4 linked regions of the Neurospora crassa OR74A genome follow. The protein of the gene in region 4 interacts with the protein of the main gene of each other region in a pairwise test. Links are inferred from orthologs where the notes say so. Each region holds a gene or a part of one and is shown on either strand. Other genes may lie near its edges. The genes, in order: NCU08499, rho-3, NCU06404 and NCU01440.

Evidence for each region.
Region 1: the proteins of NCU01440 (region 4) and NCU08499 interact in a two-hybrid assay, tested with the Saccharomyces cerevisiae proteins (2 studies listed by BioGRID). The link is inferred for Neurospora crassa OR74A from reciprocal best matches to the Saccharomyces cerevisiae genes MYO2 and GYP5.
Region 2: the proteins of NCU01440 (region 4) and rho-3 interact in a two-hybrid assay, tested with the Saccharomyces cerevisiae proteins (2 studies listed by BioGRID). The link is inferred for Neurospora crassa OR74A from reciprocal best matches to the Saccharomyces cerevisiae genes MYO2 and RHO3.
Region 3: the proteins of NCU01440 (region 4) and NCU06404 interact in a two-hybrid assay, tested with the Saccharomyces cerevisiae proteins (4 studies listed by BioGRID, with this or other methods). The link is inferred for Neurospora crassa OR74A from reciprocal best matches to the Saccharomyces cerevisiae genes MYO2 and SEC4.

The regions. Positions count from the first base shown.
Region 1 is NC_026502.1:3,459,272-3,463,317, reverse strand, and holds the start of NCU08499 (GTPase-activating protein GYP5), read left to right. Parts: upstream 1-1,223; 5' UTR 1,224-1,845; coding exon 1,846-2,070; intron 2,071-2,216; coding exon 2,217-2,559; intron 2,560-2,624; coding exon 2,625-4,046. UniProt on the Saccharomyces cerevisiae protein: GTPase-activating protein which accelerates the GTP hydrolysis rate of YPT1 and SEC4. Involved in ER to Golgi trafficking and polarized exocytosis.
Region 2 is NC_026501.1:7,873,142-7,877,429, forward strand, and holds rho-3 (small Rho-type GTPase), read right to left. Parts: upstream 2,826-4,288; 5' UTR 2,048-2,825; coding exon 1,995-2,047; intron 1,879-1,994; coding exon 1,828-1,878; intron 1,763-1,827; coding exon 1,713-1,762; intron 1,654-1,712; coding exon 1,564-1,653; intron 1,493-1,563; coding exon 1,113-1,492; 3' UTR 230-1,112; downstream 1-229. UniProt on the Saccharomyces cerevisiae protein: Plays an important role in cell growth. Required to keep the uninucleated state. Modulates morphogenesis during bud growth via directing organization of the actin cytoskeleton and the position of the secretory machinery for exocytosis.
Region 3 is NC_026504.1:2,622,859-2,626,923, forward strand, and holds NCU06404 (GTP-binding protein), read right to left. Parts: upstream 2,851-4,065; 5' UTR 2,183-2,850; coding exon 2,153-2,182; intron 2,023-2,152; coding exon 1,755-2,022; intron 1,544-1,754; coding exon 1,224-1,543; 3' UTR 357-1,223; downstream 1-356. UniProt on the Saccharomyces cerevisiae protein: Involved in exocytosis. Maybe by regulating the binding and fusion of secretory vesicles with the cell surface. The GTP-bound form of SEC4 may interact with an effector, thereby stimulating its activity and leading to exocytotic fusion.
Region 4 is NC_026505.1:4,738,498-4,742,639, reverse strand, and holds the start of NCU01440 (myosin-2), read left to right. Parts: upstream 1-1,334; 5' UTR 1,335-2,290; coding exon 2,291-2,425; intron 2,426-2,537; coding exon 2,538-2,670; intron 2,671-2,757; coding exon 2,758-2,947; intron 2,948-3,008; coding exon 3,009-4,142. UniProt on the Saccharomyces cerevisiae protein: Myosin heavy chain that is required for the cell cycle-regulated transport of various organelles and proteins for their segregation.

The sequences.
Region 1 (4,046 bases), on a different chromosome or scaffold from region 4:
TCTAGATTCGCTTGGTTCTTCTAGAAGGTGGCTGACCGCACAGGGCTGGCACAACGGCATCTCGGTTCTTGGCTATTTTCGACAAAAAGGAGAGGGCAAGGCGAGCGAGGGCTTAGGCGGATCCCGAACCTTGTTCGTGGCCGAGTTTTGGCGAAATGGGCAATGCCGTCTTTGACATGATGTTTTGGGAATTTATTGAGGCAAACGGGTATCGTGGGGATTCCAATGCTCTGGGTTGGGTCGATGGGGTTTCCGCTGTCGATCAAGCAGACATGGCTGGTATTTGAAGTTTATCAGATGAACCATGTACCTATGCCGTGTGTCTGGACTCTGGAGAAGGTGGTGAAGGAGGTGTTGCAACATTGTATGTAAGTGGAAAGGAGGGTGGAAGAAAACGGCGAAAAGCTCAAGACATTCCAATGCATTTTTGCCGATGATTGGCGCATTTCGGCAGATCCATGCCCCTCATCCGTTTCAGAAAAACCGCTGCGCATACCATTGGGGAAACCCCCCCATGTTCCCCATTCTATTCTAGACTTTTTGTCCCGCTGTGGACGCGCCATCTCTTGCACTTTATAGACGCCGCCAACCAGCCGATGAAGGATGTGCATCGAATCATGGCCGGCGAATGTTTATGGAGTGAACGTGTTTGCGGCCTCACATTTGATCGGGTGGCTTCAGTTGCTTTGACCTGAATATCGACTTTTTGTGTGTGGAGAGAATAAGCACAAAAGAAGGAGGTTTAATTGCATCTCAATGCCGTGGGAGTTCCTTGTTATGCTGTACATAGAGATACGTATGTATATTACTGTACGGCGGGTGAGTGTAACGCAGGAACCTCAAGGGCTGCAACACTGACAGCTGCTGTCTACCATATACTAGTGTAGAGTGAGATACCTAGGTAATGTATGCCCTGTCTGTCATGTTGATAGTAGGTACCCGTCTGATCCCGTATGTAATAGTTCGTGGTGGCCCTGAGCACACGAGCAAGTGCGGTGAACAATGACAAAAGTACGGTAAACAAAGTGCGTGGATTGTGGTGGAGTGATTAGTCTGCTAGGTACCCGCGACTTGACATCGGCCCATTTTAGAGCCTCAGTTAGTGCAGGCTTGGCGTACTGTGTACCCCGAAATCTCTCAGGGGACGACACACTGACCGACCATGGACATTTTGCACTTACAAGCATCAATCATTCTGCACCCAGACTCCTCCCCTCCCACATCACAGACAGACACACACACACACACAATTCGTATCACGACAACAGCAGCAGCAGCAGCAGCAGCAGCGGCAGCGAGTCGACCTGCCCGTTCCTCCAGACCACCTAGGCACCTACCACTCAGACTCTCAACAACAGGTAGTACTGCCAGTGATTCCTGTCTTGTCTTGTCTTGTCTTTAAGCGGCCCTGTTTGCAGCACTTGCCCCCGTCATTGATCACCCATTGTCGACCAGTGGAAAGCGACTGGAGTAGTCGAGCAGCTGTGTGAGTGAGGGGTGTGTGTCTTGTCTCTCTCTCCCTCCGTCCCTCTCCGCCAATTGAACATCCAGCAGCCAGCCAGCCAGCCAGCCAGCCAGCACTTCCACGCACTTGCTTGCTTGTATTTCCGTTTATCAATGGCCAGTCGCTCCGCCGCGTAAACAACAACCACTACCTTGCCTACCTACCTACCTACCTACCTACCTACCTACCTCTAGTACCACACACCACTCACTGCACCCACCACCACCACCTTACTTGTCGCCCGCTCTCGCCTGTCCTTGTGTCGCCGCCTCGTATATTGTCCAGAGCCGGAGCAGCCTGTGCCTATTCCTTGGGTTTCCACCTCCCAAGAAACAACCGAAATGTCGGCATCCGAAGTACAGGAAGGGGCTGCTGCCCCCCACGAGGCGGTCGCTACCAAAGAGATGCCCACGGAGACGGTTCAGGAGGTCACCCACGAGCACGAGAAAGAGGACGCTGCTTCCTCTCCCGTAACAGAGACAAAGGACAAGGACTCCCAGCCCGACCACCAGCGACCAGCCTCTCTCGCTCCCACCAACCTGTCCGACCCAGACGACAAGGACACCGTAAGTCTCCCTTTCCTTCCTCAAGTTACCATGTTACCTGCCCCTAGGGAGGTACAAGGCAGTGCAACCCAAAGCAACAAGAGTACTGTACTATACGAGCGAGTGCTGACCAGCGACCACAATCATGATTATTGCCCATCATGCAGGATACGTTTGAAGATGCCATCGACACAGGTTCCGTAAGGTCCCTAACAAAACGCTCTTCCTCGTTTCACCGCCCGCGCTCCCCATCAATGGACGATTCTGCCGCCGCCGACGCCGACCACGACGCCCGCTCCCACACCACAGAGACACCCCAAGTTCCCAAGACAGCAGAGATCAAGGAAGAGGAGCAGGAAGACGTCTTCGAGACCCCGGCACAGGAGCAGGAAAGCAAGTCGCTACACCGCATCTCGCATGCTTCCAAGGTTTCAGAGGCGTCCGCTTTCTCGGCTGCATCGCTGGACGATGTAAGCCTAAACGATAATTCTACAATTGGAGACAAAACAGGTACGTTGGAAGCTGCACGCACAGCCAAGCAAAACCCACCAGACTGTACTGACAAGGGAACCCAGAAAAATCCCTTGATACGGCGCCTTCGTCAACCAAGAAGCTGTCAATAAGCAGTATAGCTAGTGCCCTGCCCGCCATGCCGTGGTCACCTTCCGCTACCGACGAAGCTGTAAAAAGCCCACCCGCGGCCGCTGCCGCCGCTGCCGCCGCCGCTCCTCCTGCGCCTGCGCCCGCAGCCCTTACTCCGGCACCACCGCCTCCCGTCACCAGAAAACTAACCAGCCCCTTTTCCTGGCTGTCCAGGAGTTCATCAAAGGAGCAAGCCAACCCACCCCCACCGCCAGCCGCCGCAACGGCTCCAAGACGGAATACCGCCAGCTCTGTTGCTACTCTCTCCAGCAACCCCGATGGGACGTTAGGCAAGGTTGACGAGGAGGGCAATAAGAACACTCTCAAGGATCGCTTCAAGCAATTGCGCCTAAGAGAGGAGGGCAGCGCGCCCACGGGAGACGATGACGAGAAGAGCTCTACCCCGGAGGAGAAGGAAGCAGTCCAACCCCCTCCGTCGCCGCTTCCACCAACTCCCAACCCGGCTCTCGCACCCGGTACCGCATCCGGGGTCACTGCTGGCCCAGCGGGCTCCGATACTCCTGTGGACTGGGATCTGTGGCAGACGGTTGTGTACGAAGGTCCCGCAGCTGTTGCTCGGACAAGCCCTGAGCAGTTGAAGGAGGCCATCGCGAAGGGTATCCCCAGCGCCATTCGTGGAGTCATCTGGCAAGTTCTGGCACAAAGCAAGAATGAGGAACTGGAAACGGTTTACCGAGACTTGGTTGCGAGGGGCACAGACAAGGAGAGGAAAACTGACAGGCAGAGCAATGCCTCAATATCACTGAGTAACGGCGGCAAGCCGAGCGGCAAGGATACGCCCTCTTCTGCCTCGTCAGTTCACTCAGAAAAATCTGGGCCCAACGGAACCGGCGCTCCTTCTCCGACAGAGAAAGACGCGGAAGCCCTCGCCAAGGCCCAGGCTCTTGCCGCGGCGGAGCGCAAGAAGAAGGAAAAGGAAGATAAGGAAATGTTGTCGAGGCTCGAAAAGGTCATTAGAAGGGATCTGGGCGCTCGAACGAGCTATTCCAAATTTGCCGCCGCCCAAGGGCTTCAGGAGGGCCTCTTTGGCGTGTGCAAGGCATATGCTCTCTTTGACGAAGCCGTCGGCTATGCCCAAGGCATGAACTTCCTCGTCATGCCTCTTCTCTTCAACATGCCCGAGGAGGAGGCCTTCTGCCTGCTGGTACGACTAATGAACCAATACCACCTTCGCGAGCTCTTTATCCAGGACATGCCCGGTCTGCACAAGTGCCTCTACCAGTTTGAGCGCATACTCGAGGACCTCGAGCCCGCTCTCTACTGCCACCTCCATCGGCGTGGCATCTCCCCTCACCTCTACGCCACGCAGTGGTTCCTCACCTTGTTTGCCTACC
Region 2 (4,288 bases), on a different chromosome or scaffold from region 4:
AGTGCATGTTTATCCTTCAGCTCGATTGGTAATGAACTCCTTGCCAAGTACTGTACGCACTGCAATCTCGCTGCTTAATCGCCGCTTGGAACTGTCAAACGATAAGACTGATAAGAATCCGCCATATGTCCGCGGGCCATGACCGGAGATGCTCGAGTCAAGATTGGCAAATACCCGACACATTATCTACCTCATGGAACTTGTTATTATAGCCTTTAGCAATGGGGAGTTCGGAGATGCTCAGTTACTCGATTGAAAGCTCGACTTCCGCGACAAAAATATCAAGCCAAGGGTACATATACACACGAGCGTCTGTTCTAAACTGGCAGACCATGATACAGGGATTTGGCACATATCGTAGACTGTTGCTATGGCCACTGAACATCAGCACCCCATCCTAATAATAATGCTCAAGACAGTTGTTACATAGACCTCTTAACATCAAATCCACAACCACGAAAACCCAAGCTCTCAGCGACTGCTCAAGCAGCTCAATTAGCGGTTGAACACAGCTATATTTTCCGCTGTCAAACAAATTTCCTCCAGCGCAACCCTATGCCACTTCAACCTTCCATGTCGTGTGTTGAAAGAGTTCCCCGTCCATCTCAACATGTCTTCAGAGTCTTTCCCCACTAGCCCGTCCGTATATGCAGATTCCAGAAAATCGACCAAATTATGTACAATGCAGAAATGAAAAATAGGAAAACAAAACTTTGCTGTTGTAAACTCCAATTTTCCACCAGTCACCACCCCGACAACACGCCGAGACAGGATATTGATAACTCGAAGAGAGGAGGCCAGAAGATGCAGTAAGACAAGAGCGAAAACCGGTGGCGGAAAACAAAAAAAAGTTGGTAAGGGAACCACTGCTGGTTGCGAAATCGTGTGCATCGTAGACAAAAACGTCCGGTATCGGCGTCGTAAAGGCGTCCTTCTTGGGCGATAGCGTGAATGAGCTGGTCGGGGAGATAAATGTGGTTGCCCGTGTTTGCTAGCGGTGCTCTGATCTGCGTCGATCTTACGTATAAAACACATTGTTGCCTAGCATCGAGGCAATGCTCGAGAGGACGGCCTATGCTGGGGCCATAATCCGGGTTGTTCGGTCAGCCGTCTTACATGACCACGCACTTCGACTCCTCCCGGTCCTTCTTCACTGACAAAGCGACACGCGCTGCTTCGGTGAAGGCTTCGTTGACTCCCCGGTTTCGCATGGCGGAGCATTCGAGATATCGAAGGGCCTTGATCCGGCGAGCCACTTCCAGGCCCTGGTCGTAGCTGATCATTGGCTTCTTCTCACGTTGAGCACCGTCCTCGTTGGCTCCGCCATCCTCTTCGTCCTCGGTCGCCTCGCGCAGGTCGCACTTCAACGCGACCAAGACAATCTTGACGCCCGGGCAGTTTTCAGCAATCTCGCCTTGCCATTTGCTTTCGACGTTTTCGAGCGAGTCCTTGCTGTCGACAGAGTAGCAAAGCATGATTAAGTCGGTGTCATCTAGTACACCGCAAGTCAGACGTCACGCACATAACATGGTTAGCGGCTACCGGGGAATGCGAAGAACCTACCGTATGATAGACTTCGTAGCCTGTCAAATTCTTCCTGGCCGGCGGTATCCCACAATGACAGTTCAATATGGACATTGTCGACGAAAATGTCTGAGTCAACATTAGTATCGCATTGGAGGACGCTTCGGTCACTTTCTCTGCAAACGTACCGTGCACATAGTTCTCGAAGACTGTCGGCTCGTATACAGTGGGGAAATAGCTGGACGGGAGGTTGAGCGTGAATTCTTAGATTGCGAGGCAATGGCGGTTCAATCGCAAACATACCCTCTTGTGAAAACGTTGAGCAGTGAGGTTTTTCCGCAGGCACCATCGCCGCTGTTGCCAAGAGTTCCGGTCAGCAATTGATCTCATAGCCAGAGTCTCTCTCTACGCATTGAGATGTCGCCTCGATCAATCCGATACGGGACGAGATTGGGGTGTGTTAAACTCACAGCAAGACGAGCTTGCGCTGCACTGTTTTCGACCCTCCGAGTCCGCAAGGCATTTTGACTGGTTTGTGAAGAAGAAAAGAAATGAGAAGTTGTGCTGTTGCAGTATTGCCGTTTCCGAGTCTCGAAGAAGGGCGACGCAGTGGATTGGTGGACCCCCTTTAGTTGCGTCTGGAGCTCGATAATGAATGTCCCCAATTGGCTTTCTTCAAAGAAAAGGGTTACCGGGATCGAATATGAGAATAAGGATGGCAGGCGACTGAAAGGCAATAGAGACTCTGGAGTAACGAGCCGCAGACGTTTAACTATATTTCGCTGGAAGTCGCAAACCGATTGATAATGACGAAGTGGAAAGAGGGGGGCGGCGGCGGCGGCGGCGGCGGAGCAGAGGCTCGATGGGGGTTGCAGTGGTGTCGGTCGAAAAGGAGCCAAACCAGAAAAGTAGAGGAAGGCCGATACGGGGTTTCTGGGGTACAGCAACGGGGAATGCTGGGCAGGTCGTAATCGAGGGAAAGTAGTTGGAAAACTTGAAACTGTGTCGTTGTGCGTATGCCGCCGCAAGAGAGTGTGAGTCGCTGGGAGTGAGGCAGCGGGCGGGGGGAGAGAACAGGACGGGAACGGAAAGAAGGGAAAAGAGAAGGGCAAAAAGGGATCAGGAAGTGCAGTGGAAAAGCGAAGGGAGTTTGGTCGACAGCGTATAAAGTGAAGGAGGCAACTTGTGGACGAAATTGAAGTCGGAGATGAGGTCAGCGAAATTGGAATGGAGCGAGGCAGGACTCGTCGGTCGACCTATTCCTCCGCACGGTGCAGGGGGCGTCCGCTGGCCCATTCTAGCGGCCGCTGCAGTTGCAGTTGCAGTGGGAGCTGAAGCTGAGCCCATAACAACTGGAACGGGTCGGTTTGACATGGACACAGGCAGCCACACTGCCCGGTGCATGCCTGCAGACAACCGGGCCTGTAAGCGGGGGTTGTGCTGTGCGCCCAGCACAAATCGTCAGCAGCGAACAGGTGCGCTCCAGCCACTCGTTGTGCGACAAACTGGCCAGGCTGGCCCACCCCAACCTTCCACCTAGCACGGAGCCAAGTTGCCATGCCGTTCGGGAAGGAGAAGAAGACTGTGGGGCCAAATACTCGCTTAACACTGGCAGGCTATTTGATATTCAGGGATCAATCTCGAACTTCGGTCGAAACCGTCCCTTGCAATCCAATTCATTTATCCATCCATCTCTCTGATTTTGACTTCCTTACCTTTTAGAGTTTTAGATAATGCCTTTCCACTGGCTAGACTAGTTGACTGAATGATCACGGCACAGAGACTACGTATATACTCCAGCGCTTGAGTTTAGATACCTCGCCCTGACACGACCCGAAACCTTTTCGGTTTGCAGTGCTACTTCGTACTATGACTATGCTGTTGCACAAACACGATGATCAACTTAGGCTTGATCAAACATCGACAATCCCTCTTCCTCAACCCAACTCGCCCTCACTTGCAGCACAACGTTGTTACCCACACCAGTCTTGCAGATCGGGCGAACAATGTCGTGTAGTGTATTTCCTGGCTACGCGCAGCATTTGAGCATATGAAATCCAGGCACGAGTGCGTCATCTTGACACAGCCCGGAACATCTGGTCTCATGTGCCCTCCAAAACCAATTGGCTCGTGGATGGAATGAAAGGGTGCGCACCTAGGTACCTACCTTAGGTACCTTGTGCAGCAAGGGCGAGTGGACACTAGCTTGGTCGTTGTTTTATTGAACAAAGGGCTGACGGGACGGCACCAATCTGGAGACGTGATGAGACCTGACAAGTCGGCCAAGTCTGTTATGCCAACTCTGCGATACTGCCTGACGACTGGGGTTTCGGTTTGCTTGTTTTGGCGAACTGGATATAGAAAAAGTCTTGCCACATTGACTGGATGTGGTACATGACTGGTAGGTAGCTTTTAGAGTTCAGCCCATCAAGCCACCATTCGCATTCGCAGGGAAATACTTATCCATGGCTTTTGGATCAATGCCCCACACACAGCAACAGCCTCGACGATAACCCCGGATTTGGCAACCCGGGAATGAGAGACGCAAAATGTCAAACAACATTGATGGCTTTATTGGCGCCTGCACTATACCAGAAATTTCGCACGAACAAGAAGTGTGACGATCTGCCTTGCCCTCAAGGTCATGTTCCCAAACCAAGCAGCGTGGGGCACAAGTGGCTGGACTGAGAGATTCGCGCACCTCTTGCAATTACGTAGAAGCCATGGGCACACAGATTGAAGTCGTTCTAGCTTCTTCGAGTTG
Region 3 (4,065 bases), on a different chromosome or scaffold from region 4:
TTTTACAGGGCGTTAATTGGCGAATCTACATAGTATATTTCGCTACTGTCCCAAATTAATTTACTATCCCATATTTTATCCACCCCCTCTCCTATAGGGAGGGGGTGGAAGAGCCTTGGCGCCCAGAGCCAGAAGGCACCCATCACCCTCGAGTATGGGTCCTGTAGTGAGCGTGGTGGCATGCCGCAGTGCAGTGGTGGCTTCCTCGGCACTATGTAAACAGTCAGACCGAAGGGACCGACAAGTGGAAGTTGAGCAACGCACAGACCACATCTATCCCGTTCTTTGTGCTCGTTTCCCGAAAGAGTAAAAGAGCACCTCTTGTGGATTCGTGGCTCATGTCAACAATGTTATCGCTCACGTCATACGTCTTGATACTCTACACTAGCCATGGTTGACCAGGGCGTCCCCATCTTTTCAGGGAATATCTATCTATGTTTTGTTTTATGGGTGTCGTATCGTCATACTTTGGAGATACAGCTATAAGGGGGGCCGCGCACGAAATCTACAAACCAGAAAGAGAACAACAAAGGGGAAACAGTCAAGAGAGAAGAAAATGAAATATATTAGGAAGAGCCAAAGATCGCACCCAAACTCCGTGACCAGAATGTTTCGTTTCGCTCTCTGCCCCTCGTCCATGCTGCCAACCCAACCTCAATCCATCTATATCGATCAAGCCGGTCGTAATACTCACATGTCTCCGTATCGTCGTTGATGTCCTCAGCTCCCTAGCCTATCCATCCTACCATCCACTGCTTCTAGAGCGCAATAATAATAGACCCAATAGCGAGAAGCCGGAAATGAGCACGCGTCGTATCTTCCGCGCCGCTTCTCCCTCCTGCTCCCGAGTGACAAGAAAGGGGTTTTCAATGAGCCCTCCAGAATAACTAAAGCCGTCTTTTCCTCTTGGACCTTAGCTTCATTACAACCATAGTAAAGTCTTGAGACCGAAGATACCCTCTTTCTCCCCTACACCGCCTCTTTGTTTCCATGCGGTAGACCCGGCCGTGCATATTGGTGGCCCGCAGGAAGACAGGTGCATGTTCGATAGACGTAGGCTGTAGCCAAATAGAACTGAATGAGGCCAGACTGCTGTCATCCATACTTCGGGAGGATAAATCGGATCTCGTATCGCCATCGTGATTGTCAGCGGGCTTTTTTTTTTTTTTTTTTGCGAGCTCCAGGGTCGGGTTTCGCCGCCACACAACTGCTACCCGTTTGGCTTAACAGCACTTGCCGCCGGATCCTGACCCGCTGTTGTCGCTGACGTTCACGCCCGACGAGCCGCCAGACGCCTCTTTGCCGGATGTGTCGATGATGCGCTTCTTGATGTCGTTGGCGAGGCTGAAGAAGGCCTCTTCGATGTTGATGTTCGCCTTGGCCGAAACCTCGAGGAAGGGAATGCCAAGCTCGTCGGCTAGCGCTTGGCCTTGTTCCTTGGAAACCGCCCTCTTTTCCTCCCAGTCGCACTTGTTTCCAATGAGAATCTTGTTGACTCCTTCCGTCGCGTGTTGCTCCACGTTGGCGAACCAGGTACGGATATCTGCGAAGAGAAGGTCACGTCAGCAAAGGAGCGAGGTAATACATGGCATGGTATCCGATGGGAGATTGCTGATGCCAGAATCCGGAGCAATGGAGAGGCATGGCATCTAAAAGGCACCAATCCATCGCATTTCGAGCGTGACCTCAAGGACCACCTCTTGACCGCAACTGTCATGCCATTTTATGCGGGATGGGAATGTGGGTTCACGTACTGTTGAATGACCTTTCATCCGTCACGTCGTAAACGAGAAGAATGCCCATGGCGCCTCTGTAGTATGCCGTCGTGATGGTACGGAAACGCTCTTGACCGGCGGTATCCCATATCTGTAGCTTCACCCGCTTGCCATCGAGTTCGATTGTGCGGATCTTGAAGTCGATACCGATGGTGGTGATAAATGACGGTGTGAATGAGTCTTCGCTAAAGCGCAACAGACAGCAGGACTTGCCAACGCCCGAGTCTCCGATCAAGAGCAGCTTGATCTATGTCGTGAAGCGGTATCTCCGGTCAGCGTCTGGAAACAGAATAACCTCGCCAAACCCACTACGGGGGAGGGGGGGAACACAAGGAATGTCGCGAGAGTGCGAGCGGTGAGGTGAAGGAAAGACTCACCAGAAAATCGTAATTCCTGTTACTCGACATGATGAACTGGTGTGGGGGTTAACGCCGCCGCCCGTCGTTTCGATCTCTTGGAATGTTTCTCTGGTAGTTCGGACTCCGGAATTCGGCAAAGGGGATATCAATCGAAATCCGGCGTTTCGAAATCGTCGGGCTGTTGTACACTGGTAGTTGCGGGAAAGGGAATGGGGATGGAGACTGGAGGCTCGAATGGTGGTGACGATGCGCAGTTCAGGAAACAGGCGACAGAGCAGGAATGATGTTCAGTTGTAGGTAGGTAGTGTAGGTGAGTGAGTGAGTGGTGGTGGAATGCAGTGGTGGTGGTAGTTGAAAGCGTGTCCGCAGTGCGACGTTGACGGGCCTGTCAAAACTGCAGGGCGGTTGCACGGGTTAGGTAGTAGTCCAGCGGAGGAGGAGTCGCAGAACGAACAAACAGGCGAGAGCGCGATGGGGTCTCCTACTCCTGCACTAAGGTAGACTTGGCTGGCCGGCTACTGGGCTGCGGGCAGTGCGTACCTGGGCTCTCTCTCCCTCCAACTTTACGGGGCGATGCCGTGCGGAGATCCAATGGAAAGGCGAACAATGACGAGGACGGGGAAGGCAGAAAGGGGTCTTGTAGCTTCCACTTGTCCAAGACCTCCCTGCGTGGAGAGGAAGGAACCAAGAAAACTGGAATGTCTCAGATGCCCCTGATGTCTGATACTATCTAATCAATGCTAACCTGGGTCCCAAAGCGCAGGGCAAGTGGAAGTCCAGAGCCCGGGCAACGCGATCACCACCATAGAGGTACAATGTGAGGGTTGACGCACTTGCCTGAAGTGCTACCGAGTCGCGGGCTACACTATGTATGGGATGGGGGGTTATCTGTGCCCTTTACACCTGTACCTCCACTCTAGTGGAAGAACGCTTATTGCAGCGCGTGATCGTGGTCTAGGGGACGCGACTGTTCGGTACGTAATCGGTCAAGTTTCTAGAACCTACAATCGCCGCAACAACTCCACCTGATATTCCATTCTTTGTGTCCCTTTCAACCTTGCAGTAGATAGAGATACCAATGTGTTATGAATGACAGGATGAGCTCGAAGGACAAGTTGTTGTGCATGGCGCAAAGTGTCTAGGAAACCGGAGTGAGAAAGAGACAACTCAACTGCACTCTCAACGAATGCAACCCAAGATTCAGGAACCAGGGAGGGAGCTCTGCCACTAATATCTGAGGTCGCGGAAGAAGGTGAGCCTCGAGACCAAACGAGACCATCCGTTCATTCGCGCATCCAACAGAAGACCAGCTGTCTTTATTTGTTTGTTTTACCAGGAAAGTTGATTAAGGGGTTTTCTTGGCTTCTTCAACAAAATGGAGTATCGTGAAAGGCCAGCTGAAGCTGCAGACACAGGCGACTGGGCGGTCTCACAGCAACATGGTGAGAAAGGCGGGCAGGGCGGTGAACAGTCTATACGCACGAGACGCAGTATCCGTTGATGGATCTATAACTCATATTGGCCCAATGATCTCTTCCACCAAAGCCTTTTCCTGCCCTCCCGCCACACGAAAGGCGGCCCCTGGGTGACCCTGCACCCTGGTTATGCCCCTGCGTGAAGCGTGAAAAAGTCCAGCAACATGCCCGTGGGGTGTTTTCACACTACGTGGACTAAACGTCGCCGCCTATAGGCACATAGGTAGGTAGGTATCCACCGTGTTTAAGGGGTTAGTAGACAACTCTGTTTTGGTGTTTAGGCCCGGTACTTCCTGCACCTGCTCACCTCTGCCATATCACCGGCACCATCTCCCCCGTGCATTCTCAAAACTCCAAGTCCTTATAGCTATTTCATACAAACAGAAGAATCATGGAAGATCTAGTCGCTATTTACTAAAGTACACTGATCATATCACATCACAGCCCAACTAACAA
Region 4 (4,142 bases):
TGTTGACTCTGAATTGTAACAGTAGTCACTCGTCGTCAATCCGGCCACGGAGCAGACAAAAGGCGGCGACGACGCGGAGTCGGCGGCAAACCACCAAAAGCACCGCCTTTCTCCCCCCCCCCCCCCCCCCCCCTCCCCTTTTTTTTTCCTCCCAAGTCCCAGGCCCCGATACTCGGGCTGCCGGCCGCACGGGGGGCCTGGTGGGGCCCGTAAGTAGGTAGTCTCCAACAGTTTCCACAGTCTTTGACGACCCGCCATTCGCTGGCGCTCTTTTTACCCCTGCAGATTCCAGAAAGAAGAGAAGAAGGAACTGAACGCAAATGCAATTGATTGTCATGGTGCCAGACTCAGCCCGGTCCACCCATCAATGCCATAGAGGTATTGGTACGTATTTACACTATGCCCCATTTTGAGTTTGCCCATCTCTCTCCTTTTCAGGCGGACAGGTTAATGCATTTCAACTGTCAACAAGCGGGCAGACGGGCCAGACGGGGACCCAGTTGGATGGCATATCGAACGAACAAATGAACGAACGAACGGACCAGTGCAAACAATTGGCCATGGGAGTCTGGTAAGATTGGGCCTTACTTCCGTGAGTTCCTTCAGGGAGTTGTGTAAACGAAATGCTACCCTGATGAGGGGCGCCGGTGAGCTGTCGGGGAGAAATACAGAAACTCAGGGGAAGACCAAAGACCGTACATAATGAGAACGATGAAGCCATACAAATCAAGAGGGCTATAGATCAGGAGGAGAAACATGGTCGTCCTCATAGGATATCCTGACGGTTATTCACCCATTGGCGTGAGCCTCCAGAGACACATTTGTACATCTCAAGGTAGAGTGTAGACTTGGACATCGTGACCCATCTTGTACATCATGTCGTCTTCCACTGGACACCTCTCCGGACAAGACAAAGGTAACCCTTATACGCTGCTTAGAGGTGCCAGTCACCCATTGTTCTTCTTCGCCTTGTCTGTGTACTATGTAGCTTTCCACTTATGTAGAGTCGCGGGATTCCCAAGCATACCTCTAGGTATGTAATCTTCTTCGCAGTGTTGGTTAGTGCCCCCTTTTAAGGAGAGCCCTGCTTGTCCAGGTCATTTGGGAATTACGGCTCATTGGAGGGGCTCCATGGAGTCCAGCTCCCCAAGCCCACGAAAGAGTCCGTGCTTCGGTGTTAATGCAACGAGCCCAGCGACGCACCCAATTGGGCGGTGGCCGCCAAAGACCGACCACCTCAACATCCACAACAACGGGGCCCCTGTCAACGGAAGTGAACGTCGGCCGGGCTGTTAGCCTGCCACCACGACGGCCCGCCAGTGCTCTATCATCACCGGGCACCTCAGCTACACTACAAGCGGAAGCCTACCCCTAAACTTTCAACGACATCCCGTCTCGTCGTCCCGCCTTCTCGCCTACCCCGACTTTTGACTTGGTTGTTGACCACACCGGCCCGACAGGCTACTACATCAAGGACGTTCCCTCATCCACAGGTGCTATCTCGACCATCAGCCACTTCTATACAGAGAGGCTGCCACCGTTAAGAGAACCCGACTCGACCGCTCGACGAATCCGTTCTCCCACCGCAAGGCAGTGTGTTGGGTCCCCGCTCCGCCCGTTCTGCCCGCCCCGTTTATACGGCATTCCACAACCTTCCTGTCCTACACACAGTGACAGGACCTGACCTATTCCCGGTCAGCCAAACACCTACCAGCTAGCTCCCTTGGGCACGCAAAGCAAACAACAAAAGCAACAACAACATCTTTCAGCTGTTTCGTCCAAGAACAGCCCGCGCTACACTCCCATCGGTCCGACGACACGAGCCGAACCCCCTTTCGAACTCCTAGACCTACATCGTCTTCGACCACCTTGTTTGTCGGCTTGGGCTCCGTTGCCCGCACGATAGCAACATCTTTCTATACTTCTTTAATGTGTTGCTCCACGTCCAATCCCTATTTTTGTATCTAATTTCCCCCTCTTCCATTCCCTTCGTGAATGTTGTCTTCGCCAGCACCACACTCCCGCCGGCCCTTGGATTCCAAGCTTCCGCGACCGAACTAGCATCCTGGACCGCTCTTCATTCCGGTCGTTGCGTCCGCCATAACAGACACGGTCCACCATTATCCCTATCCACCCCCGTCGCCCCTAGCCGTGCTGGCCGTTCCGCCGCTAGAACTGGCTTCTTGAAGCCATCCAAATCCCACCACAACATCTCTTCCCCCTTGCTCCTGACTCGCAGGTTCGCGCCGATTTTCTCTCCCTCGAGAATACACCGATACAAGCGCATCCAATGTCGGAGAGCTATGATGTTGGCACTCGAGCCTGGCAGCCCGATCCTACCGAGGGTTGGGTTGCCTCTGAAGTAGTCAAGAAGACAGTAGACGGCAACAAGGTCACTCTTATCTTCGAGTGCGAGAATGGCGAGGTAGGTAGCTTATGCTTTCCCAAGTCTCGGCATATTCCGACTTTTGTGCTTTGGTTTACGTGCTTTGCGGGCTGGTGCGCTTCAAGATGCTAACATGTGTTACTGCCTGCAGACTAAGACCGTGGAGGTCTCCCTCGAGGCCCTCCAGTCAGGCGGCCATGAGTCGCTACCGCCCTTGATGAACCCAACAATGCTCGAAGCCAGTGATGACTTGACGAACCTATCACATCTGAACGAGCCTGCTGGTAAATATACACACACCTTTGCGCTGACTCGCCCCGCCATCGGGCGCACTCCGAGAACGTGATGCTGATAGCATGTGCTGTGCTTAGTGCTTCAGGCTATCCGCCTTCGATATGCCCAGAAGGAAATCTACACATACTCGGGTATTGTTCTAATAGCTACAAACCCGTTCGCGCGGGTTGACTCTCTTTATGTCCCAGGCATGGTTCAAGTCTATGCCGGGAAGCAAAGAGCAACCCAAGCTCCCCATCTTTTCGCCATTGCTGAGGAAGCGTTCATGTATGGGCTCTTTGCCAATTTGACGATTCATGTTGACTTGTAATCGCTGACATAACAATAGGGACATGTTGCGCGATGGCAAGAACCAGACCATTGTCGTGTCTGGTGAGTCCGGTGCCGGTAAGACTGTCAGTGCCAAGTACATTATGAGATACTTCGCGACAAGAGAATCGCCCGACAGCCCCGGATCACGAGTAAAGAAGGGTGGCCACGAGTCTATGAGCCAGACCGAGGAGGCTATCTTGGCTACGAACCCGATTATGGAAGCTTTTGGTAACGCAAAGACGACAAGAAACGACAACTCCTCGCGATTCGGTAAATACATCGAAATCATGTTTGACAAGGCCACCAACATTATCGGTGCCAAGATCAGGACCTACCTTCTCGAGCGATCGAGGTTGGTTTTCCAACCGTTGAAGGAAAGAAACTACCATATTTTCTACCAGCTGGTTGCTGGTGTGACGGACAAGGAGCGCCAGGAATTGGGCTTGCTTCCCGTTGAACAGTTCGAGTACCTCAACCAGGGTAACACCCCCACGATCGATGGCGTCGATGACAAGGCCGAGTTCAATGCGACCAAGGCATCTTTGAAGACCATCGGTGTTGACGAGGGCAAGCAAACGGAGATCTTCAAGCTTCTGGCTGGTCTCCTCCACTTGGGTAATGTCAAGATTGGTGCCATGCGAAACGACAGTTCCCTCGATCCTTCCGAACCATCGCTGGTTAAGGCCTGCGAGATTCTCGGCATCGATGCTCCAGAATTTGCCAAGTGGATCGTCAAGAAGCAATTGGTCACTCGTGGTGAAAAGATCGTGTCCAACTTGACCCAGGCGCAGGCTATCGTTGTCCGAGATTCCGTTGCCAAGTACATCTACTCGAGTCTGTTCGACTGGCTCGTCGAAATCATCAATCACAGTCTTGCTTCGGAGGAGGTCCTCACCAGAGTCACTTCCTTCATTGGTGTTCTGGATATTTACGGCTTCGAGCATTTCGCCAAGAACTCCTTCGAGCAGTTCTGTATCAACTACGCCAACGAGAAGCTTCAGCAGGAGTTCAACCAGCATGTGTTCAAGTTGGAGCAGGAGGAATACCTTAGGGAGCAGATTGACTGGACCTTCATCGACTTTGCTGACAACCAGCCCTGCATTGACCTTATCGAGGGCAAACTTGGTATCCTGTCCCTTCTAGACGAGGA